Daphnia pulex: one gene and its partners. The protein of the gene in region 1 purifies or fractionates together with the protein of each later gene. This does not show direct contact. Links are inferred from orthologs where the notes say so. Each region holds a gene or a part of one and is shown on either strand. Other genes may lie near its edges.

What was found.
Region 2: the proteins of exocyst complex component 1-like (region 1) and exocyst complex component 5-like purify together in Homo sapiens (affinity purification with mass spectrometry; 4 studies listed by BioGRID and IntAct, counting the BioPlex papers as one, with this or other methods). This does not show direct contact. The link is inferred for Daphnia pulex from reciprocal best matches to the Homo sapiens genes EXOC1 and EXOC5.
Region 3: the proteins of exocyst complex component 1-like (region 1) and exocyst complex component 7-like purify together in Homo sapiens (affinity purification with mass spectrometry; 4 studies listed by BioGRID and IntAct, counting the BioPlex papers as one, with this or other methods). This does not show direct contact. The link is inferred for Daphnia pulex from reciprocal best matches to the Homo sapiens genes EXOC1 and EXOC7.
Region 4: the proteins of exocyst complex component 1-like (region 1) and exocyst complex component 3-like purify together in Homo sapiens (affinity purification with mass spectrometry; 5 studies listed by BioGRID and IntAct, counting the BioPlex papers as one, with this or other methods). This does not show direct contact. The link is inferred for Daphnia pulex from reciprocal best matches to the Homo sapiens genes EXOC1 and EXOC3.

Annotation. Positions count from the first base shown.
Region 1 is NC_060019.1:8,325,425-8,333,193, reverse strand, and holds exocyst complex component 1-like, read left to right. Parts: upstream 1-3,513; 5' UTR 3,514-3,699; coding exon 3,700-3,867; intron 3,868-3,936; coding exon 3,937-4,029; intron 4,030-4,128; coding exon 4,129-4,333; intron 4,334-4,393; coding exon 4,394-4,557; intron 4,558-4,619; coding exon 4,620-4,847; intron 4,848-4,909; coding exon 4,910-5,042; intron 5,043-5,109; coding exon 5,110-5,219; intron 5,220-5,286; coding exon 5,287-5,554; intron 5,555-5,622; coding exon 5,623-5,774; intron 5,775-5,836; coding exon 5,837-6,111; intron 6,112-6,181; coding exon 6,182-6,392; intron 6,393-6,480; coding exon 6,481-6,634; intron 6,635-6,737; coding exon 6,738-6,883; intron 6,884-6,942; coding exon 6,943-7,137; intron 7,138-7,192; coding exon 7,193-7,345; 3' UTR 7,346-7,497; downstream 7,498-7,769. Other genes in the region: teneurin-m-like, read left to right, coding at 1-1,336, 1,421-2,352.
Region 2 is NC_060021.1:6,828,649-6,836,240, forward strand, and holds exocyst complex component 5-like, read left to right. Parts: upstream 1-2,508; 5' UTR 2,509-2,619; coding exon 2,620-2,646; intron 2,647-2,701; coding exon 2,702-2,832; intron 2,833-2,892; coding exon 2,893-3,010; intron 3,011-3,065; coding exon 3,066-3,263; intron 3,264-3,322; coding exon 3,323-3,469; intron 3,470-3,617; coding exon 3,618-3,719; intron 3,720-3,784; coding exon 3,785-3,925; intron 3,926-3,985; coding exon 3,986-4,062; intron 4,063-4,128; coding exon 4,129-4,239; intron 4,240-4,300; coding exon 4,301-4,396; intron 4,397-4,460; coding exon 4,461-4,611; intron 4,612-4,676; coding exon 4,677-4,784; intron 4,785-4,847; coding exon 4,848-4,972; intron 4,973-5,030; coding exon 5,031-5,220; intron 5,221-5,280; coding exon 5,281-5,437; intron 5,438-5,506; coding exon 5,507-5,667; intron 5,668-5,730; coding exon 5,731-5,835; 3' UTR 5,836-5,866; downstream 5,867-7,592. Other genes in the region: acetyl-coenzyme A synthetase 2-like, mitochondrial, read right to left, coding at 1-78, 152-452, 525-700, 791-990, 1,067-1,163, 1,406-1,535, 1,953-2,054; protein arginine N-methyltransferase 1-like, read right to left, coding at 6,237-6,530, 6,595-6,951, 7,016-7,222, 7,278-7,508. UniProt on the Homo sapiens protein: Component of the exocyst complex involved in the docking of exocytic vesicles with fusion sites on the plasma membrane.
Region 3 is NC_060020.1:3,978,157-3,985,683, forward strand, and holds exocyst complex component 7-like, read right to left. Parts: upstream 4,870-7,527; 5' UTR 4,768-4,869; coding exon 4,738-4,767; intron 4,602-4,737; exon of another isoform or gene 4,579-4,601; intron 4,523-4,578; coding exon 4,357-4,522; intron 4,261-4,356; coding exon 4,067-4,260; intron 4,003-4,066; coding exon 3,885-4,002; intron 3,824-3,884; coding exon 3,726-3,823; intron 3,657-3,725; coding exon 3,516-3,656; intron 3,451-3,515; coding exon 3,288-3,450; intron 3,225-3,287; coding exon 3,037-3,224; intron 2,975-3,036; coding exon 2,795-2,974; intron 2,730-2,794; coding exon 2,486-2,729; intron 2,415-2,485; coding exon 2,269-2,414; intron 2,213-2,268; coding exon 2,142-2,212; intron 2,064-2,141; coding exon 1,952-2,063; intron 1,878-1,951; coding exon 1,641-1,877; 3' UTR 1,555-1,640; downstream 1-1,554. Other genes in the region: uncharacterized protein LOC124192964, read left to right, coding at 1-1,037, 1,106-1,153; palmitoyl-protein thioesterase 1-like, read left to right, coding at 5,606-5,702, 5,768-5,877, 5,936-6,063, 6,133-6,291, 6,354-6,459, 6,527-6,623, 6,704-6,777, 6,837-6,962. UniProt on the Homo sapiens protein: Component of the exocyst complex involved in the docking of exocytic vesicles with fusion sites on the plasma membrane.
Region 4 is NC_060017.1:4,103,726-4,111,480, forward strand, and holds exocyst complex component 3-like, read right to left. Parts: upstream 4,342-7,755; 5' UTR 4,190-4,341; intron 4,120-4,189; 5' UTR 4,055-4,119; coding exon 3,965-4,054; intron 3,847-3,964; coding exon 3,698-3,846; intron 3,616-3,697; coding exon 3,475-3,615; intron 3,199-3,474; coding exon 3,051-3,198; intron 2,973-3,050; coding exon 2,759-2,972; intron 2,695-2,758; coding exon 2,294-2,694; intron 2,226-2,293; coding exon 2,079-2,225; intron 2,003-2,078; coding exon 1,847-2,002; intron 1,786-1,846; coding exon 1,627-1,785; intron 1,564-1,626; coding exon 1,417-1,563; intron 1,356-1,416; coding exon 864-1,355; 3' UTR 806-863; downstream 1-805. Other genes in the region: uncharacterized protein LOC124194259, read right to left, coding at 6,802-6,876, 6,940-7,008, 7,078-7,169, 7,322-7,739. UniProt on the Homo sapiens protein: Component of the exocyst complex involved in the docking of exocytic vesicles with fusion sites on the plasma membrane.

The DNA of each region.
Region 1 (7,769 bases):
CTATTGAAGACGGCCGAAGTGAAAGAGCGGCCCGGTTACGAAGTCCGCAACGAATTCAAATACCACGGCGGTCTGGTCAAGGAAGAGCGGACGAAATTCGGCAGTAAAACGGGACTGGACAACGCCCGGACTCGATGCAAGTACGACGGTAACGGGCGTCTGGCTTTGATCGAAACGGAACTCAACGGCCGCGAACTCCCGCCGCACGCCTTCTCCTACAACCAGAATCTGGGCTTGCTGGAGGGCGTCAACGACCTGCGCGTCTACCGCAACGCCTTCAACCGCACCGTCATCCAGGACTCGACCAAGCACTACTTCCGCATTTCCGACCGCGATCAACACGGACGCACCGCCATGGCCCTCATCAACATCAAGGGCTACGACGCATTCAAATTCGAGCTGGACTTTGACGTCAGAGGACGAGTGCACCACCGCCGGATCACCATCGGTCAAAAGCTCATGAGCTACAACGTGACGTACAACGCCGAGGGTGGATTGCTCCAAGTCCAGCATCAATCGCAAGGATTTTCTTCCGCCGGATCCCTGGCCGGAGTCGGAGGAAGGAGCTACGCCTACACTTACGACGACAACGGCAACATTTTGACAATGTCCAACGGAGAACAAGCGAAAATCAGTTTGGTCTACGACGCTGGCGATCGTGTCAGTTCCTTCGGCGAAGGGCAAACGGTCGCCTACGATTCCCGTGGCTTTGTCGTCCGTCGCGGCGCTCTGAAATTGGCTTACAACGACCGCGGGCAATTGTCGTACGCCAGCAGCGAGACCGGCAGCTCCAAGTTCCGCGTCTGGTACAATTACGACTACCGCGGTCGTCTGTCGGTTTGGCGCGACGACAAAGGCAACGTGACCCAGTTCTTCTACACCAATCCGCTCAAGCCCCAGCTGTTGACGCTCTTGCACTGGCCCAAGGAGAGCCGGACATTGAGAATGTACTACGACGTCAACGATCATTTGATTGCCGTCGAATCACCGGAGCAGCGCTGGTACGTTGCCAGCGATGAAACGGGCACGCCTTTGGTCGTGTTCAACGTTCACGGCTCCGTGATCAAGTTGACGGAGCGGACGCCGTTCGGATCGACTGTCCTCGACACGGAATCCACCGTCTACATCGGCGTGGATTTCCGAGGCGGAATCCTCAGCCCGCACACCGGAATGATTCATTTTGGCGGCCGAGTTTACGATCCTTCCATCGCTCAGTGGCTCACGCCCGAGTGGGAGCATCTCGTTTCGCGGTTGAAGAATCCCCAGGACATTTTCGTCTACCGATTCCGTGGCAACGATCCAATCAGCATCGACACAGAGCCCCGCTACATGACAAGTAATATTCAAATCTCTTTTTATTTTAAATCAAAGTTTCGTTGGAAATTTATTCTAACCAATCGACTTGATTGATCACTTTCAGGTCTGGATGACTGGCTGCAACTATTTGGCTATTCGTGGAACAACATTGTCGGTGCGGAATACAGTTCGGCGGCCGTGTTCAGTCAAGTATCTGAAACGGACACGAAGAATGCCGTTGGACACTTTGGAGTCATTTCCGGCTTACGCTGTCTGACTGAAAACGTGCAAAAAGGATTTTCCGTTCTCAGTTTTGTGCCGCCTCCCAAGCTGCGGTCAGGAGGCGAGCTTAGACGGAACCCCCTGCCCAGTATCGCTTACCGGAAGCCGGCCTTGGGTGAAGGTATCCTCCTCTCGCGGGTGGGTGGTCGCGTGTCTGTCACTTTGTTGCCCGACTCGCAGGGCAGCAGCGGTGGCATATTGCAAGACGTGTTGGGTTCGGTCCTGGGCGACAGTTCCACCACCCACTGGTTAGACATCCGCACGGGAATGGGCCAACAGGAAATCTTCTACTTTGTCAAGGAAAGTCTGGCGAAATTGCGCGACGACCAGGAAGATTTGAAGCGTTTGAGTGGCCAGTTCAACATCACGCTCGTTGAAAACCCGACGGAACAAGGAGGCGGGTCTGAATTGCGATTGGCCAATGCGGATCTATCCGTCAGCATCAGCTACGGTGTCGAAGTGGAAGCGGCTAGACAGCGAATACTCCGGTCGTCTCATCGGCGAGCGGTTGAAGTCGCTTGGCTGCGCGAGAAACAGTTGGTGGAAAGCGGATTGCCCGGCCAGCAGGTGGACTGGAGCGTTGAAGAAAGGGTGGAGCTGATGACCAACGGAAGAGTCGACGGCTTTGTCGGCTCGGATTTGCACAGCATCTACGACTACCCGCAATTGGCCGATGATGCCAGCAACATTATTTTCCGGAGAGACGACACCAAGCGAAAACGGCGCAAGAGCCATCGCTTGTCGTCACGCCAACAAAGACGGGGGCAACACTGAAAAAAAAACAGGGTTTTATAATTAATCCACCAAACCCATGATCGTACTTCGAAACTAAAAAATATTGTGCTTTGTAAAAAAAAAAAAATAACAAAAATAACAAAAAAATCTGATTATGATTACGGTGCTCTGTCATTCTAATTTGTAATCTTTGACGGAATCATTTGCGCTGTATTTTTACGTCACCAGGAAAAGAAAAACAAAAAACTGCTCGAGCCGAAAAATGAAGCGTAGTCATCACCGTCTCATGTGATAATCAAATATCGAGATGGAATCCGAGTAGAAACATTCTTCGACATATTTGATGGTTTATTCATCTTTTTTTTTACTTTCCTTCCCTGTCCATTTCTATATATTACAAACACACCCACCAGTAAAAGAGATATATTGAAATCACTACTGACATTGGATCCTGTTTTCTTTTGTACTTTAAGAATTGTGTTTAGAGTTGTAACGTTTTTTTTCTGTTATTCCTTCGTGTACATATATTATTCTGATATTTCTTGACCGAAGCGATGCGTCGACATCACACCGCCAGATTTATTTGGGACTCTTCTCTATTGGCATCATTTGTTGCAATATGTTATTTCTGAAGAGTGTGCGATTTGATGACTCTACATGCCAAAATTCTCCTTTTTCAAATGTGCGTGTGTTATTTGAACATGGCGGGCCTAACTTTTGTGTGCGTCAAGTGTCATAATATTCACATCTTTATCGTATATAATAATCTCGGTATGCAAAACAAAAAATTCATGAATCTGAATGATTATGTGCATCTGATATAAATACATATTGTTGTACTGTAACACTTTTGTGAATTTTTTAAGAAATACGGTTGAGCTAAAATATCCAAAATGAAATTTTCGACACGTTGAGCGTTAAGGAAAACAAATGAACAAATGAGACAAATGAAAATCTAGAAAATCAAGTTTAAGATAAATGTTATAATGTTATATTTCAAGAGTAGTTCTCAGTGAAAATTCGAGATTAATAATTATGGTCACCAGATCTGCTGTACACGCCCCTCGGTCTGATAGTCCACCCCTTCCTCCCATTAAAATTATGAATAAATAATCCGATCGTTTGCTGCACGCGCGAGTTTCCGCGTTTTTTAAAAAATAACCCTTTGACTTCATAAGTTCTCCGTATCACTGTTAGAGGACAGCACCATCAGATGGTGGGTGGGACAGCTTCGTCTGCAATATTGTCAGTTGTCACGAAACACAGCAGACATAATATAGTGTATGCAACCTGCTGGCGATTCAACGTTATTGTTATTGAATCTAATTGTTAGCCGATTGATTGACGATTGATTGACATTTTCTCGTTACTTCTTCGTTTAATAAAATGGCTGCGCTAAGGCACAGTTTGCAGCGAGAATTATTTTCGCCTGCTGAAGAAAGATTAGTTGGATTGGCTCATGTGACTAGTGTTGGCAAGAAAAAGAAGGCACTTCCTTGTTTTTTGTGCGTTGCAGTTACTGCAGATCAAGGCATCGGTGCCGTAATATACAAGGTATACTTACTTCAATTTTCCCATGCACCAAATTATGTTCTTTATTCTGTCATTATTTTCAATAAACAGGTAAAGAAAACTGAGAAAAACAATGTTTACAAGAAGAAGAGTAGCTGGCCATTGAAAGAGCTCAAAACTGTGGATGGTATTGATGGCAACAAGGTATAAAGAAATTGTTTTCATATTTGTCTGGTTTGCCCATGCAGACCCTCAAAGAGTTGTGTCATCTTCTTAAAACAATTGTAATTTTTTATTTTGTAGGAAACAGCTGAATTCAGCATTCATTTTGACAAAGTATACCTTTGGTCTGCATCTAATGTTCAAGAAAGGCTTCTTTTGTTTTCCATTTTATGGAAACTTTGTTCAAAGTATTTGCCGAAACAAAGTCCAATGTTTGTTAATATCCCTCCAGGCATCATAGAAGATTCAGTGATACCAGAAACATCCGTAGCATTAGATCATGAAGGTATCAAATTGAAACTTGTGAAGCATTTTATAAGTTGTTCACCTGTTTGATTCAAACTAGTCAGTGGTCCAATGGATGGAGGCATTGGTGAGGAGGATTATCAAGCCCTTACAGACAGAGAAGAGAAAGACCTGGAACGATTATTATCTCAGTCCAATAATGCCTTGAGTAATGCAGAAAAGTTTATGGAGCAACTGGCTAAGGACTTGTCTTTACTTGATGGAGTATTTTATGCAATAAAAATCTATCATTTGAAATATCATAACTGAACTGATTTCTACTATAGGCAAATATTCAAAGCTTGATGGGCTCTGAAGCTCAAGTCATACAATTGTTGAACCTTCTCGAAGCAGCCGAAAATGAAGCTGCATCCATTGAAACCGAGTTAGACAAGTATGAAAACATTCTACTCCAAGCCCGGGTTGCAATGGCAACAGTAGGTGAAAAGAATGTGTCCCTGGAAACTGCCAACCGTAACAATCGTCTTCTACTTATGGAACTCAATAATTTAGTCGTAAGGCTGCCGTTTTCAATCCTCGTTTATCCGCATCTACAATCAATGTGTTTGTGGTACAGGCACATTTAGATATTCCACATTCCCAGCAAGTAACTTTGAACAATCCAGACTTAAATAGTCCTACAGGCCTTCAAAACGCTATAATAGCTGCTAAATCTCTTCAACGTGCTATGAATGCTGAACTAAAACCAGGTACTTGCATTTTTCGAAACCAAAATAAAATAATTCTATTCTCATTTCTCTAATCGTCACTCTTAAGGACTTGAGAAAATGGTTGCGGTTCAAGATCAGCGACGGCAGTTGGAGAAATGGCGAGCAAAATTTACACCCACAGTTACTCGCCAACTCAACAACCTCTTCATTCACTTAGTAATAAAATCAGTTTATACTTACGCTTTTTTTTCCCTTCAATAATATTTTTTGGTTTTCTTTTTAGAGCAATGATTCTGGAGAAACCAGTAGTCAAAGCTCTAGAAGTTCAAACTCTTCGCAAACAACAGTGTCACTGGCTAAACACGGGAAACTGCATTCTCAACTACAAATGTATGCTCCCTTAATGCATTGGCTAAAAGCAACAGACCATGCCTGCTATGAGAAACTACTCGAAGTATACACTACATCAATATGTAAATTGTATGAAAGAGATCTACGGCAGTTCTTTGATGAAGCGCGTTCGAAAGTGATAGGATTGCGAGAGAAAAAACGTAAGGAGAAGCAATTTTTTATTTGAATCCACCTTTAGTGATTTCTGGTTATAACATGTTTACCGCAGTTCGTGGAAGTGATTCGGGTTCAGACATGGGCACCAGGCATTCCTTGTCTATTAAAAATCCTTCAGGAACAAATGTCGCCGCGGCAAGCCCTAGTGGAACAATACAAATGCCGAGTCAAAATTTGTTAGGGAATGAAAGAGAGCTTTGGACGGTACAATATACTATACGAAATTTTAAATGTGTAAAATGTATTGATAAATATGTTTATTACAGGTTGAAGTTGATATTCATGAAAGAAAACGCCTAGAAGACTTGCTTGAATGCGCACTAGCCGAACTTGAACCAGTATGTCTAGTGGAACAAGAATTTTGTGTCGCATTTTTTGCACTGGATCAAGGAGGCCATGAAGCGGATGAATCATCAACAAGTAACAAAACCCCAGAACGAGCCATTAACGAAGAAGTGCGCAAAATGATGAGCGTTTTGTTTACTGTTCTTGAACCGGAGCTTGTGAGCTTTCTTGCTACTTATGAGAAAGTAGATAGCTTGTAAGTGATTTAGAATACTGTACTTTTTAAATTGGAATGCTTTTTTTTTAATCGCTATTATTATTTCTAGCTCACCTTTGTACGTCCTCGTGAGACTTAGTCAGCATGTCTTGTCTGCAACCGATACCGGTTCCTTCCTCAGTGTTACATTTGGTTCATCTTTGGTGCACGTGAAGCGAGCATTCGATCGGTTTTTTATGACTCAGCTTCGCTCGATTGAAGATTCAAAACAGCCTAGGAAATCCAAATGTGGGATTCTTCCTTTCATTTCTAATTTCGAGGTAAAGTAACAAAATTAAAAATTTGTAAGTTAGTTGTATTTTGAATTTATTTTGAATTCCCCACGGCATCCTTTTATTTCATTTCTAGGAATTTTCTGTGATAATTGAAAATATTTTCAAGAATTCAGAACGGCGGGTTGATGTTGACAAATGGTACACACGTTTAGTCCGAGCCATGTTTGAAGTAATGCCAAGGATTTCTATAGAGAACTCTAGGACTCCAGCTGACATGATCAAAATGGGTATTTGAACGATTATTATATCATTTTTCTTTTAATTCAGAGTTTAATTCTAAGAAACAAAGAAATTCATTGCTATTTGTATTTTGTATTGTTTTTTTAATAGAAAATTTTCATCGATTACACGCTTTGTTGTCACAGCTAAAAATCGCAGTCCTGGAAGCCGAGAAGAAAGAAGCAAAGCAAAAATATCAGGAAGCACTTCAATCATACGTTATACAATATTTTGGAAGGCCTTTAGAGAAACTCAATGTAGGTTACCTAATTAATGTGCTAAAAATGTGAAGTAATTTTGTTTTTTGTTTTTCTAGTTATTTTTTGATGGTGTTCAAGCTAAAGTTTCGCAAGGAGTTAAAGAGTCGGAAATTGGCTACCAAATGGCGTTTAGTAAACAAGAACTACGAAAAGTGATTTCCATTTATCCTGGAAGAGAAGTTAAAAAAGGTCTCGAATCTCTGTACAAAAAAGTGGAAAAACATCTATCTGATGAAGAAAATCTGTTACAGGTTATTTGATTTTTTTAATGTATAAAGCATTATTTAATGTAATGCTGTTTAATAGGTTGTGTGGCGGGCCATGCAAGAAGAATTTATCCGTCAATACAAATCCCTCGAAGACATGATTCAGCGTTGCTACCCTGGTGCGCTCATCACGTTGGACTTCTCCATGAGTGATATTCTTGAATATTTTTCAGACATAGCACGCTCTCACTAATGCTTGATTTTCAGAAACATAATTAAATTACATGTTCAAAAAATTTTCCTAAACAGCGATACATATTGAATGAACAAAAGCAGTATAAAAAATACGTTCATCCCGTATCCCTTTAAGAATAAAGTACCACCTACCAGGTTATCGCATCTATATATAACATATACGTGGACTTGGAGAAGAAAGTAGAATACTGGAACGAATATATGAGAAGGCATTGAATGCTCGATCAGTGAATCGATGAAGGATGAAGGCAAAGTTTTTTAAATTTAAATTTCATTCAACCAGGTGGCAGGGGCTGCATTAGACAAGTCTCTACATTCTGCCCATTCGAAGTGAAAGAAGTAAAGCCAATGCTTTTACTGGGGAGCAGACCTATTTATTCATATGTTCATTGATTGAAAATAGTTTTCAGTGTATTGGCAGG
Region 2 (7,592 bases), on another chromosome or scaffold:
TAAGAAGCAAACGAATGGCCGTCGGCGCGGTATAAAGTTGGTTGACTTTGAGCCGCTGAACTGTTTCCCAGTATCGACCTGCAGGGGATCACACGCGTCTTAACATCAACGTAGACACAAAAAAAAAAATCAATGGAAAAAATCGATCGACCTGGATCGGGATACGTCGGTGTGCTTTCAAACAGAAGAGTGGTTACTCCGTTTGCCAAAGGTCCGTACACAACGTAAGAATGGCCCGTGATCCACCCAATGTCAGCCACGCAACCAAAGATGTCGCCTTCGTTGCAATCAAATACTAGCTTATGTGTCAAAGAGGCATAAAGGAGGTAACCGGCTTGAGAATGGGCCACCCCTTTAGGATTTCCTGTGCTGCCAGACGTGTAGAGCATGAAAAGTAAATCTTCACTGTCCAGGACGGCAGGTTCACACTCGCCACTCTCTTTAATCATCGCCTGATGGGAAAGAGGACATATCGTTTGATTAATTCGTTGCCTTGATTATAATTTTGACTAGCGACAACCAACCTCGTCGAGATCGACATCAAGAGAAGATGAAACTACAGGATTTCCCGTCCTCTTGGCTACGAGGACTGCTGTGACGCTCGGACAATTAGCGACCGCCGCCACAACGGTCTTTTTCAACTCAATCAGTTTGCCTCCTCGTACTCCTTGGTCAGCAGTAATAACTACTTTGGCTTCCGCTAATAACAGAGATTTAGAAAAAACAGATTTGTTTTAAACTTGAAAGAATAAAAGCCTTTTGAAGAAAAAAAAAAAACGAGAATCAATACCATCAACGATGCGACTCGCCAACGCTTCCGCACTGAATCCAGCGAAAACGACAGAGTGGACGGCTCCAATTCGGGCACAGGCCAGCATAGAGGCGACGGCGAGTGGACAGGCTGGCATGTAAATTGCTACTCGATCTCCTTTTTCCACTCCATGGGATTTGAGGACATTGGCAATCTGATTCATCATCGTGTACAGCTCACTGTGCCACGTCATTTAGAAAAAAGAAAAACAATTTTAGAAAACATGTAACAAGACAGGTTCATTAAAAGTCTAACCCGTAGGTGACCCGCTCCTCTTGACCGGGTTCGTCCTTTTCCCAAATAAGCGCTACTCTGCTGGCATCCTTTTCCTTGTGTCGGTCGACACAATTGACTGTCGATAAAATATTCAAACCAATTTGTTGTACTTTAATTCAGAAAATTCAAGATAACTAATTCATCCGGTATACGTGACTAGCGTTTTTTTTTTTTTTTTTAATGTAGGCTGTAAAATGACATCACATCAAAAACCGAGATAAAACTACTCAATTCCCGTCATTATTTCGTAATAACAAGTGGTTTTAGTTCTTATGGGAGATAAGCCAGTCTGATAGACGCACTATCAGTAATTTGTACCTGAGACATTTAATTGGCCGCCAACGAACCAACGGAATAAGCCCGTCTCCATATCGCAATCCGAGACTTTTTCAAAATTGCGACTCCAGCGCAGGCGCTCCAAAGCTAGCGTACCCCAGAACAGGTCCGTCTGTCAAAACGCCAATTGAAAATTAAATGCTAAAATTATGCTGAGGGCTACAAAATTTTCATTAGTACGTTTCAAACAAGTCATAGCGCTCGAAATAACTGGATTTCATAAATCAAAGTTATATTCAATTCATCCACATTTGGCTGTATTAGAAAACTAGTGGATGCTGTAGGCAAAACGCCACGAAAACAAGATTTTCGAAAGCAGCGCAAAACTTCTTCCGTATTCAACAATAATCGATTGTTTTACACGCATACACACGTACTAGCCACATCGTCAAATATTTGATCTGTCCCTCTAGCTACAACCTTATTTTTAACCTTCAAACACAAAATCAACAAGGTAACACAAGGTTGTCTATAGCGTCTACGGCTCTACGTGGGCGCAGCATACGGTTGACAAATAAAGCCAACAAACCTCATTGATGCTGAAGTTGTAAAGTTCCTCGTAACTGGAACAGCCAGGAAAAACATCTTTCAGCTCAGGTAGACTAAACACGCTGGCCGTAGGTGAATCCATTGCAATTTTTCAAAAATCAACGACCGTCGTTCACTAAACAAGAGTTTTCGGCGATTTTCCTGTGTGCACTTATGGGTATGATGAATGTTTGATTCAAGTAGCAGAAGTGTTCACTGTATAACTAGAATGTATGTCAGGGAGCATCGAAACTTGTAAGTCCAGCCAGTCCACTCAACAGCCAAGGACTGTGATCCAAATGGGAAATGACAGAATGCCAGTGGCTACTAGACTCTTAGCGCAGCTGTAAACATACAATTTTTGTAAACATCGATTTTTTAAAAGATCGATAGATTAACTTTTGACATTTCTAATTTCTAAAACAGAAAAGTATTTATTAATTGAAGTTTCCTAAATGAATTTATGTTTAATAATTTATAACTGTATCTTGTGTATATTTGTTTATTAATCTTATAAAAAATAAATATTTTCTGTTTTGGTATTCATCCATAGATGGCGCAGTATATGCAAGTTGCAGTAATACAAATACATGACAGCGATTATGACCCCAGTCTCGGAATTCACCACAATATTTTGAAGTAAAAAAGTGATTTGTTGAAATTCCATCATGGACTTCCTTGCCGAAATGGAGCAGGTTTGTTGCGTGTTAAAAATGTTTGTAACATTTCTAAAACCGTACCACCGTTAAGGAGCCGTTTAATCCAAATGAATTCGTTGAACGTCTTGCTTGGATGACTATGGGCGTATCACATTCTTCTTCCGGCAGCGACGATTCTTTTTCCGCGACTGGTCTCTTGAATAATTTTGAGGAAACCATAAAGTAAGACACTTTACAAGGCCTGCGTTTGGTAAACACCTCATTGTTGAACATAAATTCTAGGCATCTCCAAGTTCTTCAGGTTCGTGTACAGGGAAAATGTGATAAACTTGAAACTGCTTGTAGAGAAGAGGAAAATAAACATTGGCAAAAAATGGCAAAACTTGAAGAGAAAAATAAGGTAATATTAAATCTACTTGTTGTAAAGTATGTTTTTTAATGCATGTCTTATTCAGGCTGCTGTGGAAGCATTTCATGAGTTGGACTCTAGGATAAATAATGTTGCAACAAAAGTTGTTTACTTAGGAGATCAATTGGAGAATGTCAACACTCCTAGATCTCGTGCAGTTGAAGCTCAGAAACTCCTGACCCATTTCAATGGATTTATTAAGCCTGGAGGGCCTTTCTCGCCTGTTTTTAGCGATAAGGAACAGGTGTGTTTGTTTAATATTTGAATGACGACACGTATTCATTATGTCCAATGTTCTTTCAGTTATTTGAAGCAGCAGACATAATCCAAAAATTACAGTTAGTTGCCCAAGAATTGCCTTCTAGCAAATACAGTGGTGCGCAGAAACAAATTGCGCAAAAGTACGACGAAATTGAGCGTTCGTTAATTGAGGAGTTCGCGAAAGCCCAGGTAATTAAGAATTTAATGTAAATCCATACTCACTCGTCTAAGCTTTACCGATGAGAATTCTTATGTAACCACAAGCAATCGCTCGCTCTATTAAATTTAATAACGACTATATTTGTTGACACAGTTAATTGAATTTAAATCCTTATAGGTCAAGGGAGATCGCGCTCAAATGAAACATATCGCCTCTATTTTAAGCCACTTCAAGGGATATTCCCAGTGTATCGACGCTTTCATTGAGCAAAGCCAAGCGGTATACACGATAGTATTTAGTATTTTCTTAGAATGAATATTAAAAGTTTTTATTTTTGCGATCAGGGTGCATTTTCTAGTGGCGACGTATTTTTAGATGTTGTCCCATTGTGTGAACGAAATGCAAGAGAAATGAAAGAAGTCTTCCATAACCCTGAACAAGTTATGGGAAAATTTATCCTCAACATTTTTTATGGGAAACTTCAGGTTTTGCTAATTACTTGATTTAAGAAGTGAATCACACGATAAATTTGCTCATGCTATTAGGGAACCATAAGTACTAATTTAGCAGATCGATCCAGACCCGATATTTATTTAAAGCGTCTGCATGAATTGTACTCCAGGTAATTGTCCATTACTTAAAATCATACATTTCTCCTATTTTGACCCAAAAATTTCTTTAAAAATAGGACAACAAAGTTATCGATTGATTTGGCACGCTACGACACTGGCAACGATCACGCGTTTCTATCAAAACTGGTGAAGAACATCTTTCAGCGTTATTTGGAATCATACATCAGGTGAGACCTTTTGAACGACTAACACAATAAATGACTTATATAATTTGCGTCATTGATTTAGCTTGGAAATTCGAAACTTGAAGGAGAGAAGTGCTACCGTTTTAAAGAAGTTCTACGAATACAAAAATCACCAAAAGAAACCTATCAACACTGGAGGGTAAAAGAATTGTGTAACAACTCCTAATCGTGCACCATTTTGAAAAAAAATTTCAACGTTGCAGGATTCAGGAACTAAGGCGGGATTTGCAGGCAGTCATCGTAGCAAAAACCGGTGCTGTCTGGGAAACGCATGGTGGGGAAACGTTTCTTTCAGAACAAATCGCCGTCAGTTTATTGGATGAAACCAAGCAGGCCCTCATCCGATGCCATTCCGTAAGCTCATTCTTTATTTAACTGCTTCGATCCCACTATTGACCTTTATTTCCTCGTTAAATTAGTTATCACGGTCGTCAGAATGTGCCGCCAACGCTGTTCAAATTTTGGATGTCTTGTTCCAGTTCCTTATCGACGAATTTCTTGATTATGCCCTCGAAATCGGTCTACAGGTTTTGTATTACATCGATAGTTGTTGGCGAATAAAATATTTAACTTCCTTAATTGATAAATAGGCTATACCGCCAGGAGAAAGCAAAGTGCAACCAGAGTTATATTTTTTTGGTGTAGTTCGTGAAGTCAACGCCATTGTTCATCTAATGGATAAACTTTTTCACGATAGCATTATCCCTTTGGTGGTGTAAGTTAATTCAAATATTTATGTTTGAGTCCTATTTCATAATTTGCTGTTTGTACAGATCTACTCCTAAGCATGGTGAATGTTTACAACGAAAGAAAACTATCTCAGAGCAGCTAGAAAACAAACTAGAAATTGGAGTCGATCGGTCTCTATCTGCCATCGTGGGTTACGTTAAAGTGACCCTACAATCAGAACAAAAGAAAGGAGACTTCAAACCAGAAGGAGATGAAGCTGTCATTGCATCTCCCGTAATTGTGCTTCTAACATTTCATATGACATTCGGCTAAAATAATTTGAACCCAATCTAGGCCTGTATTAAAGTGTGTCGCTTCGTCTCGGTCCAAACTGAGAGGATCAGAAATTCTCTTGACGGTAAAAATCAAGAAGCTGTGTTAAATGAACTCGGAACACGTTTTCATCGCGTCATCTACGAACACTTTCATCAGTTCCAGTATAATTCGATGGGTAATTTCTTTACAATTCCAAATGGTAGATTTTTAATCAGGATTGAACGATTTTTTTTCTTCTATTAAGGTGCACTTTGTGCCATTTGCGATGTTAACGAGTATAAAAAGTGTGTGCAAGAGTTTAAAGTTCCAATGGTAACAACGTTATTCGACACCCTACACGCATTGTGCAACTTATTGTTGGTTTTACCGGAAAACCTTAAACAGGTTTGCACTGGAGATCAATTGGTGAGACTAACTATTAAGGTTGAGAAATATGATTGATATATAACTTTTTTTATCGGGGTTTAGGCCGCACTTGATCGTTCAATCTTATCAAACTTCATCCAACTACGAGCCGATTTTAAGACTGCTCGGCTAGGAAATTATATTAAAACCTTGTCTGAAGATAAGTAAATGTGTACGTAATAAAATATTCTGTTACCAACGAATTTTTCATATTTAATTAAAATACCCAAATTGAAGAAAAAAAAATGTTTATTAAAAAGAAATGGTGGCTTTTATTTTTTTTTTCATGAGTTTGCCGCGCGAATGAAATCATGTTAAGTTTTCAACACAAGTAGTTTTCCACTGGTTGGGATTAGCGAACGAAATTAAAAAAGTTTCTAGGAGATTAGAATAAGTGGAAAACTATTGGGCAAGATAGGATACTAATAAATTAGGTGACGGAAGTTGAAAACTTTCCATACAAATAAAAAATTAGCCACCCAACCAAAAATTAACAATTCATGTTATTGACTGAATGTGTTTCCAAAATCACGCACCTGGGCTTAAAAACCCTTTCTCCGACAAATCATTTAGCGCATGCGATAGACGTTGTTCTCTTGAAGTGTGCACAGTTCACCCGTGAAATTCAACTCAATGTTAAAGTCCAGATCACGATTATTCTTCGCATTCGGCTTCATTCCAAAAACACCGAAAATCTCTTCGTTACGCTTGACTGTAAGATAATCATCCAGGTAAAAAACAGTTTGCTTCCAGTGCGTGTAAGGAGCATCGGGCGCTGTGCTGAATCCCATCCTCTTGTGGCATTTAGTAAATTCGATGGTAAAAAATGTTACCAATGCATGAACGTAGTCATTACGACGGAGCTATGGATAAAAATTAAACGGTTAATTATTGTAAAACTACCACAAATAAAATTGTGCTTATTACCTGAAGAGAGAATGGAGAACTGAATGCCAATTCGTCTTTAGTGACGGTGTACAGATCAACTTCCTTTAGTAGACATGAATTTGATACAACTTGCTTAGGATCGACCACGTCGACGAGTGGTTCAGTGATGGCGACTTTGCGAATGCAGCTCATGTTGAATCCGTAAACCTCATCCCACCAGTTAATCTTGTCATCCTTGTACTGCCTGTCTTCGATAGCGCAAACGTACAAGCTGGCACGGTCGGGGAAGAGAAGTCCGTCAGGTTTCAACCACTTGTCTCGGGCATGCAGAATGGTCTCCAACATTGATTCGTAAAACAGGCAATAACCCATCCATTCAGAGATGATAATATCAACCTAATAATCAAACAATTAATTGAGCATCATTTGATGAGATTATATTGAAATGTGTCTTTCAAACCTTTTCAATTCCTTCAGGGAGTTCAACTTCTTCAACTTTGCCTTTAATAATGGAAATAACATCATCCATATGATTAGCTTTAACAATTTCTGTGGCCTGGTTCACAATATCAGAGCAATCAATGCCAAAAACTCGAGCAGCTCCAGCTTTGGCGGCAAACATGGACAAGATACCAGTTCCACAGCCAATATCTAAAACAACTTTACCCTACAGAGAAAACAAAATCAATAATTGAAGAATGAATTCTAAAAATTTAACTAACCTTGAAAAGGTGCTTGTTGTGGTACATCGAATTTCTATATGTAAGAGTCCTAACTTCGTCTTTCAACATCTCTTCATGAATACCGAAATGAGCATAGGAATCAAAATAGTAGTCCCGTGAAGTCATGTCTTCTTTCTTTTCAGTGACTGGTTTTTCCGTGCCATCTGCAGCGTCAGGCTTTTCTTCAACAACTGGTGCAGCTACATCCATGCTTAGGTATTCAGCAGATGCCTGCAAGATACAAAAATCAAGAGAAAATTTAGCCTCGTGAAGGGCCACGAAAAAAGTTGCACGTTGAAATCTCTTAAATAAACT
Region 3 (7,527 bases), on another chromosome or scaffold:
TGGCAAACCAAATGCAAGCTAGTAATCAAAATTCAGTCGAACGTTCATCAGCCGACCGGACTCCAGTTAACACTGTTACGCAAGGCGATCATTCGCCCATCGGTGCGCTGAATACAATGATCACCAATCAAAATCGTCAGGTTAATCAGCAGACGCCTGGTCCTACACAACACAGCCCAAACACTGTTGCGATGGAGGGACATCCCGGTATGCCACGTCAAGGATGGACTGGCAACTCCGTGAATAACGGAATGGTTGCATATCAGTCAACTGTAGTGCAAAATACTGCTGTTGTTGTACCTATAATTAACGCACAGTACACAGGTAGACATCGCATGCCTGCGGTTCAGCAAACAGTTCCACCACCACATTCTACTTGGCCACAACAAACTGCACAGCAAACTGCACACCAAGCATACGTTCAAAACCTGCAGTCTAATCGGATGCAAGCACCCGTCAATTACCAAGCTGGGCCTTATCGACAGCAGCAACAGGCGACACTACAACACCAGTACATGCACCCTAATGGTTCGCAACAGTCATTGGGCTCATCTCAGCAACTTCACAATCGTTTGGCTGGTCCTATTGCAGGAGACAGTCCCTCGCGCCAGCAAAATATGTCCATTCTTGGATCGCACCTACAACAAGCACAAGCACCCGTTCAGCAGCAGCGAATAAGACAACAATCTTCCTCGCAACAGCTGACAAATCAGCCGACAGTATCACATCACTTGAGCGGAATGCAACAACAGCAAGTTCCACATTCACAAGCCCATTCCTTGCAAAACGCACAACACCAAATCATGCAGCAGCAACGCCATATGCCCATGTCTTCGCCGCCAATTAATGCTCAAGCGCAAAGACATTTTCCTGGCCAGCAGTCGGACATTGCTAGACAGCCTGCCATTCGTCGACTCTCACGAGATGTTCCGCAGCCACAGCAACACCCGCTTTACACTTGCCTGAAGTGTGGACAAGAAGCTCAGCAAAAGTGCAGCGGGTGTCAAACCACATTCTACTGTTCCCGTGACTGTCAGGTAATATCGCAATTCAGTTATTGTATACTTGTTTTGTAACGTTTTGTTTTTTTAAATAACGATTGTAGGTTGCGCATTGGGATGAACATGGTAAAACGTGCTCAAAACAGGCTTGACGAGAACGCGAAGGCTTACCAACCAAGACCCTAAATAGTATCCTAGTCCTCGGGTGTGAAGGAGTGACAAAATTGAATTTTCTGATGACAAGTGTTGCGTCCTATCTGTTTTCTAGAATTTGTTTGATGCGTTTAAACGTCCTTCGAGTGGCTCAGTTTAATCTAGCGGTGCTACGTTTCTAAGACAACAGCTGTCATCAGTATTATGCACAAAACAAGGTAGAGCCGTTTTATTTTTCTCATGTGTCTCCTGTTCTACACGTCAAAGTTGAACGTTTAGCAGGTTTTGTTTATTTGTGAAATGGAATGGAATGTGCCTGTACAAGTGTGTACATGCTGTTTAGTCATCGCTGAAGGATATAATTTCCTCTTTGTTTTAATAGAATTCAGACTTGTCGCTATTGTAATTTCATTTTTTAATAAATTTAAATTTGGTGTTGAAAATACAATCAGGATGATTTTTTGTTAACCTTGATCGTTTTGATCATCATGCAGCAACGTCGAAAAATGTATCGATTACCGATGAAATTTGGGCCGGTGAGTACTTGATGTATTTTTCACTGTGTTTGCTGAACTGCGCGTTGCTGTACTTGTCATAGAAAGCCTGATACTTCGGCAGGATGTACTCTTTGTTATCACGCTTCAGACTCTCGCGAAGCTCAACGTCTGGCACTGAATAACCTCGTTGCTCTCTGGACAATTCTTCAAACTCCTTGTTAAGGGTCTAAAAGATTTATCGGATCAAAAAACAACATTTTAACACATGTAAAGCTTATATTTTAACTTTTGAAGACCTACCGAGAACTTTTCTTTAATTAAAGCTTTATCCTTTTCCCGTAACCTGCCGGAAAGAAGTACAGATGCTGGAACATCTTCCGAATTCCATATTGGGGCTAAGACCTTGTTCCAACTGTAGGTTATTTAATTAATTGAATAGTAACGGTGAGTTCAACAAAAAATTCAAAGGAAAGGAACAAAGTATCAATACCTTTGAGAATAAAGCCTCTTCTGTTCGTTGATCATTTCTCGGTAAATCGGCTCGCATTCTGGTTCCACAACCTAAAAACACCAAAATATGTGATTACATTTACTTTGACTACAATTTTGTGCTTTACCTTCAACAGGTCTAGTAGGCCACTACGCTGTAGTGCGCTTAACAAATAGTGGCTGTTATTTAATCGAAAAATATAGCGCAAAGAAGAATCGCTGTACGCATCGCTTTTAGTAACTAAAGTTAAATTTAGTTGAACCAACACTTTTTCTAAAAAAAAAAGGGTAATTTGTTAATCAAACCAGATTTTAAGTTAAACCTGAACAAGAAAAATGAATTACTGATATAAAGTCCTAGTAAAGCTTTGTTTCTCTGAGGTTTCGGCCAGGGTTGAGTGTGTACCAATGCGTTGGAATAACTTTGATCTTGGGCGAGAAGCGGACCGACTGTGTCAGACAAATCAGTCAACTGGCCGAGAAAAAGAACGACATTGCTCGTCATTTCATAGACCGTGCCATCTCTAGGCAATGGAGCTGCAGATTCAGAACGCACAGATTCTGCAAAGTCTTCAAGGGCCTTGCCGCACTAATCAATCACAAAATAACACAGTGATAAAAACGAATCTAAATTATGGTGAGTTATTAGCTTACGGTTGTATGGAGATTATTAACCATTGCGTAAAATCGTGTGCGAACAGAAGAATCGCATCCTTCCAGCAATTTATCACAGTCGCCTTTAAAACACACTAAATGGCGTAAGGCAGGAAAAAGAAGCAAAACGGGACCGAACTCTTGACGAGAAACACTTCGGCGCGCTCGGCCGCTTAAGCTCTAAAAATTAGTAAAGTACAAGAATGACTAACCGATGAAATTGAATCAAGAATATTTCCAACCTCGGCATCGTGACAGATCATTTCCAATGCGTCTCTGAGAATGATAGACAGAACAGCTTTTTGATGCGGCAAAGGGACAATACCCAACATAAGTCTCAGTTCACTCTGCAGTAGTCGCAAAAGTGCCGTGAATTCGGTTAAGAACGATTCGATTTCGTGTTCTTCGACAGCATCTTCTTTTATACTGTCTGAAGAAGAAACAATAATGATAATTGGGAAAAAGTAAAATAAATTTAATTTCGTCTTCTCACCCGCAGCGCTTCTCCTGGGGCCCAAAGCCAGTCCTGTAGAGCTTTCCAACGTTTGAGAAGCTTTCAAAAGCATTTGGTTGGCCTTGCGCTCAAGCATTTGCTGTAGTTTCTTAGATGTCTTTCTACTTGGAGTGTCATAACTGGCTTTGACACCTGATTTTGCCTGAAAATTATAAAAGAAGTTCATTATATATTGCCTAATAGTAGTCACAATAAATATTAGATTACCAGCAATGTAGCCGTTCCCGACATGGCAGCTACGGGACTCACGCCTTGGTGACTCGATACCCCAGTAGATGAACTTCTCAAATGATCACGAAGGCCAAGAAGGGTTTTCTGCACAGTATTTGCGCGAAACCGAGCGTAAACCTGGAAAGTAAATCAGTGACAAAGTTTATTTAATATGTCGTGGATTAATGATTGATGATTACAAGTTACATTCATGAAGTCATCTTCATTGTGAGTTACAAGCCAATCAGCTATTTGCATCAAATTGTCTTTCACATCTGCAGAGAAGTGATTTATACTTATCTCCTCTGGAATGAAAATGGAACATTACATTGAATTTTCAGGTAGTTATAGATAAATGGGGTTCACCTTCATCATTTGCTAGAGCTTCCAAAAGTGCTGTAGCAGGAATGGTTTGACTATGTTTTGCTAGGTGTTCTTTAAATTCGCTGATAATATTATCTTTGCCAGTTTCAAATAGGCTCATCTAATACAAAAGTTGTTTTTTAAGTTTGTAAGGTATGGTGATTGTAAATAAAAATGAAACTTACAACATTTTCTAACTCCACACTCTGTGGATTATTTCTCTCAAAGAAATGCATAGCTTCTTGCAATCGACCGAGGGATTGGAGAAAAATTTCTAGACCCTGACTTGAAGGGCTCTCTTTTATGACAGGCTCAACTTCCTTGCTGACACTGTAATAGCTAATGACATGATCCAAAGAGGCTAATGTTTTATCAATGTCTATAAACACGAAGAAAGTTAAAAAGAAATTTAGATTTTGTAAATTTAGAAATACAAGAAATATTGATATTATATGAGATCTCATTAATAATTTACTTTCTTGTTTCTGTTGCAAATTTTTTGTCTCATTGTAGACTGGTAAAATGGTCTTTTCAAGTCTCGCAAGCCTTTCATCAAATGAAGTCAAAATATTGACCATTCCATTAGTAAGCTGAGAACTTCTAGAAGCAGCATCTTGAAGAAAGACTAGTCCTGTCAGCACCTTTACCAATCATTAATTAAACCCATTATTTGTTTGATACAATATGTCAATATAACCAGTCATATATGTGAGTATCCAGTCACAGCAAAGAAATTTGAATTTTGTAACAAGAAATTGAGTTTAATATTCAAACCTTTAAAATTAGTATTTAAAACAAATAAAATCAAATGATATAAAGAAGAACTAAGTAGGCCTATATAAAACAAAAAAGTAACCTTTTCATGTTTATGATTAAAATCTGACATTTTGCTGAATTTCTGTCAGTTGTTTCGTTTCTCGCCATCTACCGGCTAGAAAAAAACGGTCTTTTATTTCGGTAGGGTAGACGGTAGGTAAATAGGTAATTAACAAAAAAAAGTAAATTCCTCGATTGGTGCGTCAAGTTGAAGTTGGACAAAGAAAAAAATCTAAAAAAGACGTCGCCGTCTATTATGGAAGAAAATATTCAACGTTGAGTCCATTATAATCGCAAGCACATGGGAGCAATCCGAGCCCCACTAAAATGTGGCTAATGACGAAATACGGCTCATAAAGAAAAAAAGCGCTCAGATATACCAGTTTGTTTTGGTAAAAGGTAATCTGAGGTAAAATGGAAATCTGATTTTACTAAGTTCTAAATGGGTTCTTGTTTTCACGGAAGTTGTGTCGTAGAAAAATGGGAAAACTCCAAAACGGTGGTGACTCGTGAACTATTTTGCCGTCACCCTTTCGATGACCCGCAGTTCTACGTTTTTTTGAAGCGACTTTAAATTATTTTAATAACCTTTTTACGATTTTGTTGTTTTTCCTGCAACATTCTTTTTTTTTAAGATCGCTTGAATAGCCCTCTATTGAGATCGATTATGAACCAACCTGGCCACCTGTTGAAAATAGTCAACACTAACCTTGAAAAAAGAATAAATTTTGAAGCCAGCCCAGCACCAAGAAATGTCAAATACACAAATGTCAATGTCAAATGTCAACGTGAGAAACTCGTGCATGGTTGTAATTCAATTACGTAACTGCTTTGTCTAAATTCCAAGCCAACTTATTAGCTTGACCCCGTAAGTGTATGAGTAGTCCTCCTTGGGTAAAGAATCAAGAATGAAGTACACACTTCCCTTAATGTGTGTTTTCCTCTTATTAATAAATTGTCAAATGGTTTTATCAATACTACCAATTGTGATCTGGCACGGATTAGGTAATCACATTTAAGGTTTCTACTTCATTCACAATTTCATGATAAATTTTGAAATGGGTATGTAGGTGATGTTTGCTGCAATCCATTGAGTATTGGGGGCCTACAAAAATTTATACAACAACAAATTCCTGAGGTCTATGTAATTTCGCTGAAGATTGGCAAGACCATTCGTGAGGTATTAATTCAGTATAGCTCAATTAAAAATTTACACCAACAATTCCAATATTATGTAGGATTTTGAAAATGCATACATCAAGAATGCAAACGATCAAGTTGAATTTGTGTGTGATCTGATCAAAAATGACCCTAAATTAGCATTAGGATATCATGGATTAGGGGTATCTCAAGGGGGGCAGTTCTTGTAATTATATCTTTATTGTTGAATAGTTAAGATTATCTTTGAATCATTTTAATTTTCTGCTTATTATAGGAGAGCTGTAGCTCAACGTTGCCCTGATCCTCCGATGGTAAATCTAGTCACTTTAGGCTCTCAACACCAAGGTGTATATGGGTTACCCCGTTGTCTAGGAGATGATGTCAAATTTTGTGACTATGTTCGCTCGCTACTTAATCATGGAGCTTACAAAAAGTTTGTCTACTTGAGACCTATACATTTACAAAAATAATTTTAACAGAACTAATTTTATCAAGATGGATTCAAAATTTTGTTACTCCTGCTGAATATTGGCATGATCCACTAGATGAAAAGGCATACAAAAAAGCAAGTGTATTTCTTGCGGATATCAATAACGAAAGGGTATGAGAATTTTTCATTGGTCCTATTTTTAACTGAAATCGAAACTATCTGCTATTTCTTTTAATAGTCTGTAAATGATACATACAAAAATAACCTTAAGCAACTGAAAAACTTCGTCATGGTTAAGTTTACTAAAGATACAGTTGTCCAACCAATTGAAACAGGTACGCGCCGCTTTAAAGCTCAATTGAATCGCGACATTTTTAACAGTGTGTTACTCTTCACCTTTAATATATCCGTGCAGAATGGTTCGGTTTTTATAAGGAGAATGATTTGAACTCAACTTACACTCTTCAAGATTCGCAACTTTACCTTGAAGTACATCGTGTCTTACATTACAATTTTCTATTAATTACATTTAAAAAAAAATCTCTTAGGATCGCCTTGGTTTACGTGCAATGGATGATGAAGGAAAACTCCATTTCCTACAAGTGGAAGGTGACCATATTCAATTTAGCCAAGCATGGTTTAAAAACGAAATCATTGATAATTTCTTGCGATAAATGATTGAAATTGTTAAAAATGTGTGATAATTTTTTCTTATAACCGTTTCCGTCTGATACGTCATGTTATACATAAACTACAATAATCGTTCATCCCGATATCGGCGGCTGAACGATTCTAAAACTATTGGTAGATCAATACAACATCCTCGTCAAAAAGTGGTAGCGTTTGCCAGCTAGTTAATACGTGCGCCCCGGTGCGAGAAACTTCTTATTTATAAAAAGTTATTATAATAGTCACAAGTCCCGGCGAACAAAAGACGGTCTCCAATTGCAAAATAACATATACTGACATCTCCCACGATTTTAATATCATTAAGGGAACATGCGTAGCCTAAACAGTGAAAAATTACATTAATAATAGCAAACTTCCTATTGACGCATGTTCCCATAGATTATATACAAAGAACGACGAGGATGTCCAGACTAGCATCGAACACTTGTCGACATGCGCAGACACATTAGTGTCCAACAAGTATTTACGACCTACTCAATATAAAGTTGGTTTTTTGTTTGTTTTGCAGTTTGTGTTTGGAGGACTGTTTTTTTTTGTCACTTTGATCCT
Region 4 (7,755 bases), on another chromosome or scaffold:
GTTGCAAACGCTGTTCACCTTAACGTCAAAATGTAATGTTTCGGCATAGGTTTTTCGTAAGGAAAAAGGTAACAGACTAACAGCTAGTCAGCTACTAGTGCAAACAGCTGTTTATTTTTCATTTTTTTTTGCCTAGCGGGCTTCTAGGCCATCTACTGGTGATACATTTAACTTCAATTCAAACTCAGCACACAAGCAAACCAGCTCCAAGCGAAGTAAAAGACTAAAAGGCAGCATAAAAGTAAAGTTGAGTTTCCTTTTCACTGTTGGGGGAGAAAATAGCTTAAAATTGAAATTCAATGCGGTCTAAATATTATGAAAATGTCGAGAAGTTGCCCTATTTCTATACACGTACACACATTTGACTAAAAAACCACCAACCACCGTTCATTTTTATCTACTATTCGATTCATCCACTTTCGGATAACGGAAATTTTACAATCCTTGTGTAGCAATGAAGCCAATAAGCCACCTAGGCCACATACAATAACTCGTGAAGATGTGAAACAGTACAAGAGATGAACGGTATAAAAATCGGTTTAGATTACTTGAAATGTAATCCCAACACGGCTATACTTTGAGAAATTACTAGGCTTCCCTTTTGGTAAGGAAGAACGCATATCGATTTTTTACTATAAACCAAAAGCCAAAACTAAATTTAACGTTATTTCGGTGACGCACACATAGTTACTTGCCGTTATGATACTTAAGGAACCGTAATTGAAGTTGGAAACCCCCGGAAAATACGCGCATTCAACTGTGACACGTTGAAAATGCAATATCGTCGTTGGTGTTACAAACATTATTGAATGCTGTAGCATTTTTATTAAATCGGATAACATGCGTAGATAAAGAAAGAGTGTTTACGAGAAAATGGAACTTGGAACAGTAATCAAAGAAAAAATCGTCGATCTAGCACTCTCGTCTTTGGAGCCGCTGGACAACAAGTCGGCCACTCTTTGGCGGGCTTCAATTCTTCCAAAATCTCCTCTAAGACTCAGTAGACACGTGAGCTGATCTTGACTGACATCGGGGTATTTTTTGATGAAGTTTATGAGCTCCAGGGTTATAATTTCTGAATCACATTTGATGACTTCGGCCAAAGCAGATATCGCCTTTGCCGCATCTTCGGTGACCTTAGGAGCATCCGCCGAAAAAGCACGACTGAGAGATGCAGGAGCTAAAAGAGCTTCGATTTGCCCAGCTTCCTGGATGATTTTGTCCGCTACTTCTCTTCGTTCGTCTTTCAACGACAGCTTCTTCTGGAAAATGGACGTTATGTATTTTCGAGTGATGCATATTTCAGCTTGCCGGATGACGTATTCAAAATTGCGTGGCCTCAAGTGCATGTAATCCTGAAATACATAATACATTAGCTCGGTGGTGTTTCAAATGGCACGGGGAAATAACTCTCACCTGAAAATAGTCCTCCAAAGTTGCGCAAATGGTATCCACGGGAACGGTCGACAGGACCCATTTGCGAGTCAACAGATCCTGAAAGTGTGGTTCAAGATCCAGGAAAGCCTCATCTAGCAAAAATCCAGCTGCCTCATTCCTAAGGCTCTGATTTTCAAATCACTATTAGTTTGGGTCCTCTTTAAACTAGTAATAGGTTATAGGCCTTACATCGTAAGTTTGGCTAAGAATTTCGAATTTGTTGAAAAATGATGAAGTGCCACTTTGATCACCCTTATTCCCATTCCGAGATCTCATTTGCTGAGAAAGTTCCATCGCGTGCAGGCAGTTGTTGATAATTGCGATCATGTAGTGTGTAAAATAAGGCACCTTGAAAGAGAGAGAACCAATTAGTAATTCACTAAATGTAACTGTATTGCGACGCAAATACTTGGCTTCTATCTTCAAAGTGTTTGTTTTTGAAAAGATTTATCGCTTCTCGGTACATCTCTCCATACTGCGTGATTTGTTCCAGTCCCAAAATCAATGCCCGCATCATCAATTCGTTGCTTATTGTACGCGACACACTTAGATTTTGCTCCACCATCTAAACAATGAGTTAAAACGAAAAGTGAATAATCGTTTTACATCACGATTTGCCAAAAGAAACTAAGAATAATTACTTGAAAAATGATAACGATCGACTCGGTGTGATAATGACCATCGCCGTCCGATTCCGGAACGATGGGTCGTCTCCAATCCCTGGCCTCTGCATCAACAGTCTTTTGCATCCAGTCGTTGTAGTTTGAGGCCATATTACTTATATATTCCTAAATAAATGTACAAATGTCATAAGTTACGTATAAAGGAGCAGATTATGACAAATTTCTGGAGCTACCTGGAAAAGCTTTTCTATGGTAGAATCGCTCAAAATTGGCCCTAAGGAAGTAGGGTCGATGTTGACATCCTGGTGTCGGAGAAGCTCTGGACCTGGATATGTCTGTAGCACCCATGACAACAGTGTAACAAATTCATTGCCAACCAGGCCAGCTGTAATCACTTCTTCGAGGTGTTTACTGATGCTCGTGTGATATTTCTGGTAAAACTGATTGACGATATCCCAATGAGGAGGAAAGCAAGGGGCGCACAGAGTTTTCACCACACGAAGATCTTCGATAATCAGCAAACGAGTCACCTCAAGGTGACGCACTAGCCACATTTTATTGTCAGCTCTCTCTTCGAATTGATTGCCCTCTATTCTTTCAACGACCGCATCGTATAGAACTTCCAGTGCTCTTGCTAAAAGTTGATATAATAAGACAGATTAAATGTGTTAAATGTGCACTAACATTTTGAAAATCACCTTTCCATCTTTTTGGTCTATCCGGTGGCAAGAATCCACTTTGCTTTTGACGCTGCACCGCATAAGCATCCGCACGTTCTTCCCGCTCAATAATTCGAACTGCTGTAACAATCACTTGCGGTTCCTTCCGAACTGTGTTCAAAGATCTACCCAAAAGTAACCACAGCTGCTTTCCCAATTGTTCTGACAACTGTTGCACTCCAGAAAAATACGCCTGTCGGATTGAGACAATTCCTTAAATGAGTATTACATATTTACATCGTGCGAATAAAAATAGAAAATATGTTCAGACCTTAAGCATTTGCTTATCTTGCAAAGAATGATTAGGTAACCTGTGGAGTTCGTAGAGCAAGTCATCACGTGAGTTCTCTAGATCCGTAAGACTTTGATGCGCATGAAGAAGTTTTCCTTCGGATATCCACTGGCGAGTTTTATCGACACTAGAACAAAAGTCGGATTTTTAATGGTTATATTCTATATTGATAATGAAATAATAACATTTCTAAGTTTCTTATATTTAAGCTGGTAATTCTAAGTTAATTTAGCATCATATTTTCATGTTTAGTTGGCCAATAACTTGCAGCTAGTGACTAAAGTCTAAAATGTATCCCAGATTATAAACTATGTCTTTTAATTTTGCCATTGAAAATTAGTTAGAGTAGTTCAATTGAAAGAAAAACAGTAATTTAAAATTTAAAAAACTATGTAAAAGTTACCTTTCTGGAACAGTGAAAATATGTTTCAAATTTTCCATGGCAACAGCATATTGTGAATAAACAACATGTTCTTGCCTTACATTTTTAACACTTTCACATAGTGTGGGAATTGTTGTGACACACTCTTCAATTTCATGTAACCTTTAAATGCCAACATAACACAATATAATAATTGTAGTAGTCTAGAAGTCATCTGTGAACATTTTTAAATGTGCTTTGATACCTATGACGAATGTCATTAATATCAACCAATGCTGATTGCAATTGTTGCAGCCCACTTATCACACCATCAAGTTGACTTTGCACAGCTGTTTTCAGCATTGCTTCAACTGAAGTTTTTTTCCTAGTTACTCGTTGTTTGTACTGCTCCACCTAAATTTAATAAAACAAAAACAAAACAAATAAACATAACATCAGGTTATAACATATAATTATGTTGTTTACATTTTAAGGTTTTTTTACGGAAACAATCCAAAAAATGAGCTTTTACCTTTTCAAGCTGATCAGGGCGCTGCAACATTGATGACAATGAAACAGAAGCAGAGAGCATTGCCTCTTCTTGAAGAACTTCAATATTCATTTCTCTATTATCACAAACCTACAACTACCAAGAAAACAACAAACAACTTGTGTTTTGTTGACAACCTAGTTTAACATTCAATTGTCACAATTGTTATTCAGTTTTGGGTTATTTTAGTGATTCCTCAATTATTACCTGATTCTCCGCTCCTTGTGGTTGCTAGAATTATCACCTTCGTATATTTAAGATAAATATTTTATTATTATTTGTTATTCCATGATTTGTCACTCTGGCAGTTTTTCGTCACTGGGCCGACTGGGCGTTCATTAGAGATCGATTTTGGGGCTTACAATCGATTTTCCAATATTTCTTCTCGCCTTTGCCGGTTTATTTTAATTAATTTTTCTCCTATTTATTACGCAATATCTTTGAAATCATCTTAACAAAATACAGCACCCACCTAAATATGAATTAATCTCTTTCGCGTTTTTCGGTTTCTCCCCCTATGACCTATATCTTATAGATTAGTTTTTCTTAGTATGGGAAAAGCCACGGTGTTTTTTGTTTTTTGTGTGTAGGGTGTGACACTTGATAACAACGAGTAGGCTGACTGTTTTCTTAAGTAACTAAAGGTTAATCTATTAATTAAAATTTTAAAAGTTAAAAAAAAAAAAAAAACGGCTGGCGTAGCGCCGTATTAGTAAGGGGGAAACGCGAAAGGATCGATTGGGAAGGTAGGTAGCCTACTCTACATTTTGTCATTTTATTTTTCTTTGTTTTTTTCGAAAATCGATTTTATACGTTAATTACACATCCGGTAGTCATCCCGTTATGCTCACGATTTTTGATAATGCCCAATTTCAAATATTTATCTTATTATAACACAGCACGTTGTCCAACTATGTTTTATCCTATAGTTTGTGCGTAAAACAACAAGTGAGCCTAACAAATTGCCTTAATATAAAGGGATAATAGCATTGAGCCAATTACCAATTAGTTTTGCGGAAATGATAATGCAACACAGCACGCCTGTTAAAATGTAGAGTGGTAAGTTGATTGTTTCGTCAAAGATGTTCATTAATAATACATCGAGTAAATAAAAATACATAGGAGATACTTGCTAAAAAAAAGGGATCGTCTCATTATCTGAAAAACAGAGCGAAAACAAAACGGGATTATGTAAACTAACGCATCGTTTATAAAGATGGCAACCCACGGGACTTTTAGGCGATTGTTTCGTTGTAGAAACATCTGATGCTCGATTTCTTGAACAAAAACTGTTGTTGTTTCACGTAGGATCGTAGGCGCTGCATTAATTCGTCGAGTATCTTACGCAAATTAGGACGAAACTTTGTTCTTTCCATCAAATGTTAATTAGCATATTGTCCGTAGGCGTTATTATGGCATAATAGCGGTATTGTTCTTTTCACTGCTCGTAAATTCATTCGTTCAGCATTGCATCGGATGTTCAACCGCCATGTATAACCTACTACGATAAACCCAAACTGGAGTCTTTATTTATTTGTTATACTTTTAAATTGATGGCAAATGATTCATTGTAGCATTCTACTTGCGCTAGAAAGGATAATATGGCAAAAAGCAGTAATCGATGGTCATGTTTAATGGCAATAGTGAAAAGGTCAAATTTGTCTGGACTGACAGATTGCGTCCGATCCAAACAGATTGACACACGATTTGAAGAGACAGCCAGCCAAACTGAAAGAGAACAGCTTTGATGCTCGGCCCCCGTACATACATACCCCCGGTTCAGCATACATTACACGATGACCGCGCAGCTCGTGCATCTATACTTATATATATACCTCTCATCTGCTGAATCCATTCTGCCATCTGCCTTCGAAATCTACCGTATAATACAACATAGTTGTCGTCTATGCGTAGTCGCTTAAGAGTTGCCGTAGCAATAACATGTCGATCTGACCAATGCCGCTCTCCGGGAGAGGAGATCCGACCGTGAGATGAGACCGCAACGAAGCATCGGTTGTAATCCCACTCTATAACCATTATGCAAAATATCATATCCAGATGGGGATTCTACATCCATTGTATTTCGATATAGAGCGCTGAAATGAAGGTCCATCAACTACCAAGGGTTGTTTTTATTCATGTTTTATACTCGGAGCAGCCATTTCATTTGTTTTGGGGATGAGTTTCCTTACTTAGAACTCGAATGTTTCGTCTTCACAAACGACGTTGCCCGGGCTAGGAATGAATTATAAATTCCCCAGATCCTTCAAGGTCTTTACGTGCGATTCCTGCGGATTCCTGGGACCGCAACTTCTCGTTGCATGGATGAATATTTTAGATATCTATCTGGCTTATTAACAATTCACAGAAATCAATTAACTTTACATCACGGAATAATAAATGAATAATCTTCTTCGAGGTGTGACCTATATATTTGTTCATCACCCTTGGAATTTTAACTCAGTTTTTATTTACTAAGCGTTGCGTAATTTGGAGTGTCAATAAAAAATGCGACGCGAGGTTTAATTTGAGAATTCTATTTGACATTTATTCATTCTCTTTTCAAGAAAGGATGATATGAAATAATTTGATGATTTCTCTGCGCACAGAACTTTCTGAATTATAACACAATGGTGTCCATATCCAGTCCCGTTTCGTGGAATTTCCAGCGTCTTATAAGGCGCCTTCACACTAGCACTGTAATTCTTATAGACGTATGGTCGGGAATTACCATAGAAACGTGGAACTAATCAGAACAACGAATGGCAGCGGCTTGTTATAATGAGACCATATAAGAATTCGGCTATAGGATGGACACTTTAGCGAGGGACACCTCGCTGTCGGTTTTCGTCGCTGTTAAGCCGTTGGCTTACGCTCAAAAGATGAGTTTCAACCTTTTAAAAAACGAAAAGACAAATTTAATTATCTGTGCAAAGCGATCAATCCAAGTAACTTACCACACGATAAAAGAGGCAGGAGACCGGAAGTTCGTCCTCGCCATTCGGGCAGTGACGCACACCGTCACACTACAATCGCGAAAGTGCACATGAGTATTATTCATTCGAAGAAAACTATAATGAATCAAAGCGTCCTACTAGTTGGAAGTCGTCGATGCAACGCCAATTGCCATTTCGGTCTGGCGTGGGACAATAAAATTCGGGTTGGCCGTCCTTCGCCGTTGGGCATTCTATACAAACAATGCGGATAATAAATCAACGACAGATCATTCATAAAACTTAAAACTGTCTGAGTAGATACCAGATAATCTGTGCATATACCATCAACTCGGTTCGGTCGACATTACAAAAGAAATTACGAAAGACATGATATAAGACTTACGGCCCGATCTGGCGAGGTACCGATACTGATAGAGCGGATCGAGATGAATAGGGAAGCGTTTGGTTCGACGTAATCCGCTACTGGTGGTGCCACGAATTTTCATTCGTGTTCTCTTGACTTGTTTCTTTTCTGTCGGCAGATCGTTATCGTTGCCGCAACACGACGGCGACTCTTGGTGCTGCTGTGGCATCAGCATCAGCACCGGATCCGGCGTTTTCGAACTGCTGCTAATCGATGGGCTAATGAACGGCTCCAGCATTTCCGAATCTGAAACAGGTATCGATGAGTCGAGTTTGACATTCAAAGAAGAAGAAGCAATACTGCTGCTGCTGCTGCTGCTACTCTGACAACACAATTCCATAGGCAGGCTCAGGGCGGAAGGCAGAATAGCCACTAGTACGAAAACTTTCCAATCCATCGCTCCTGATGCTGTG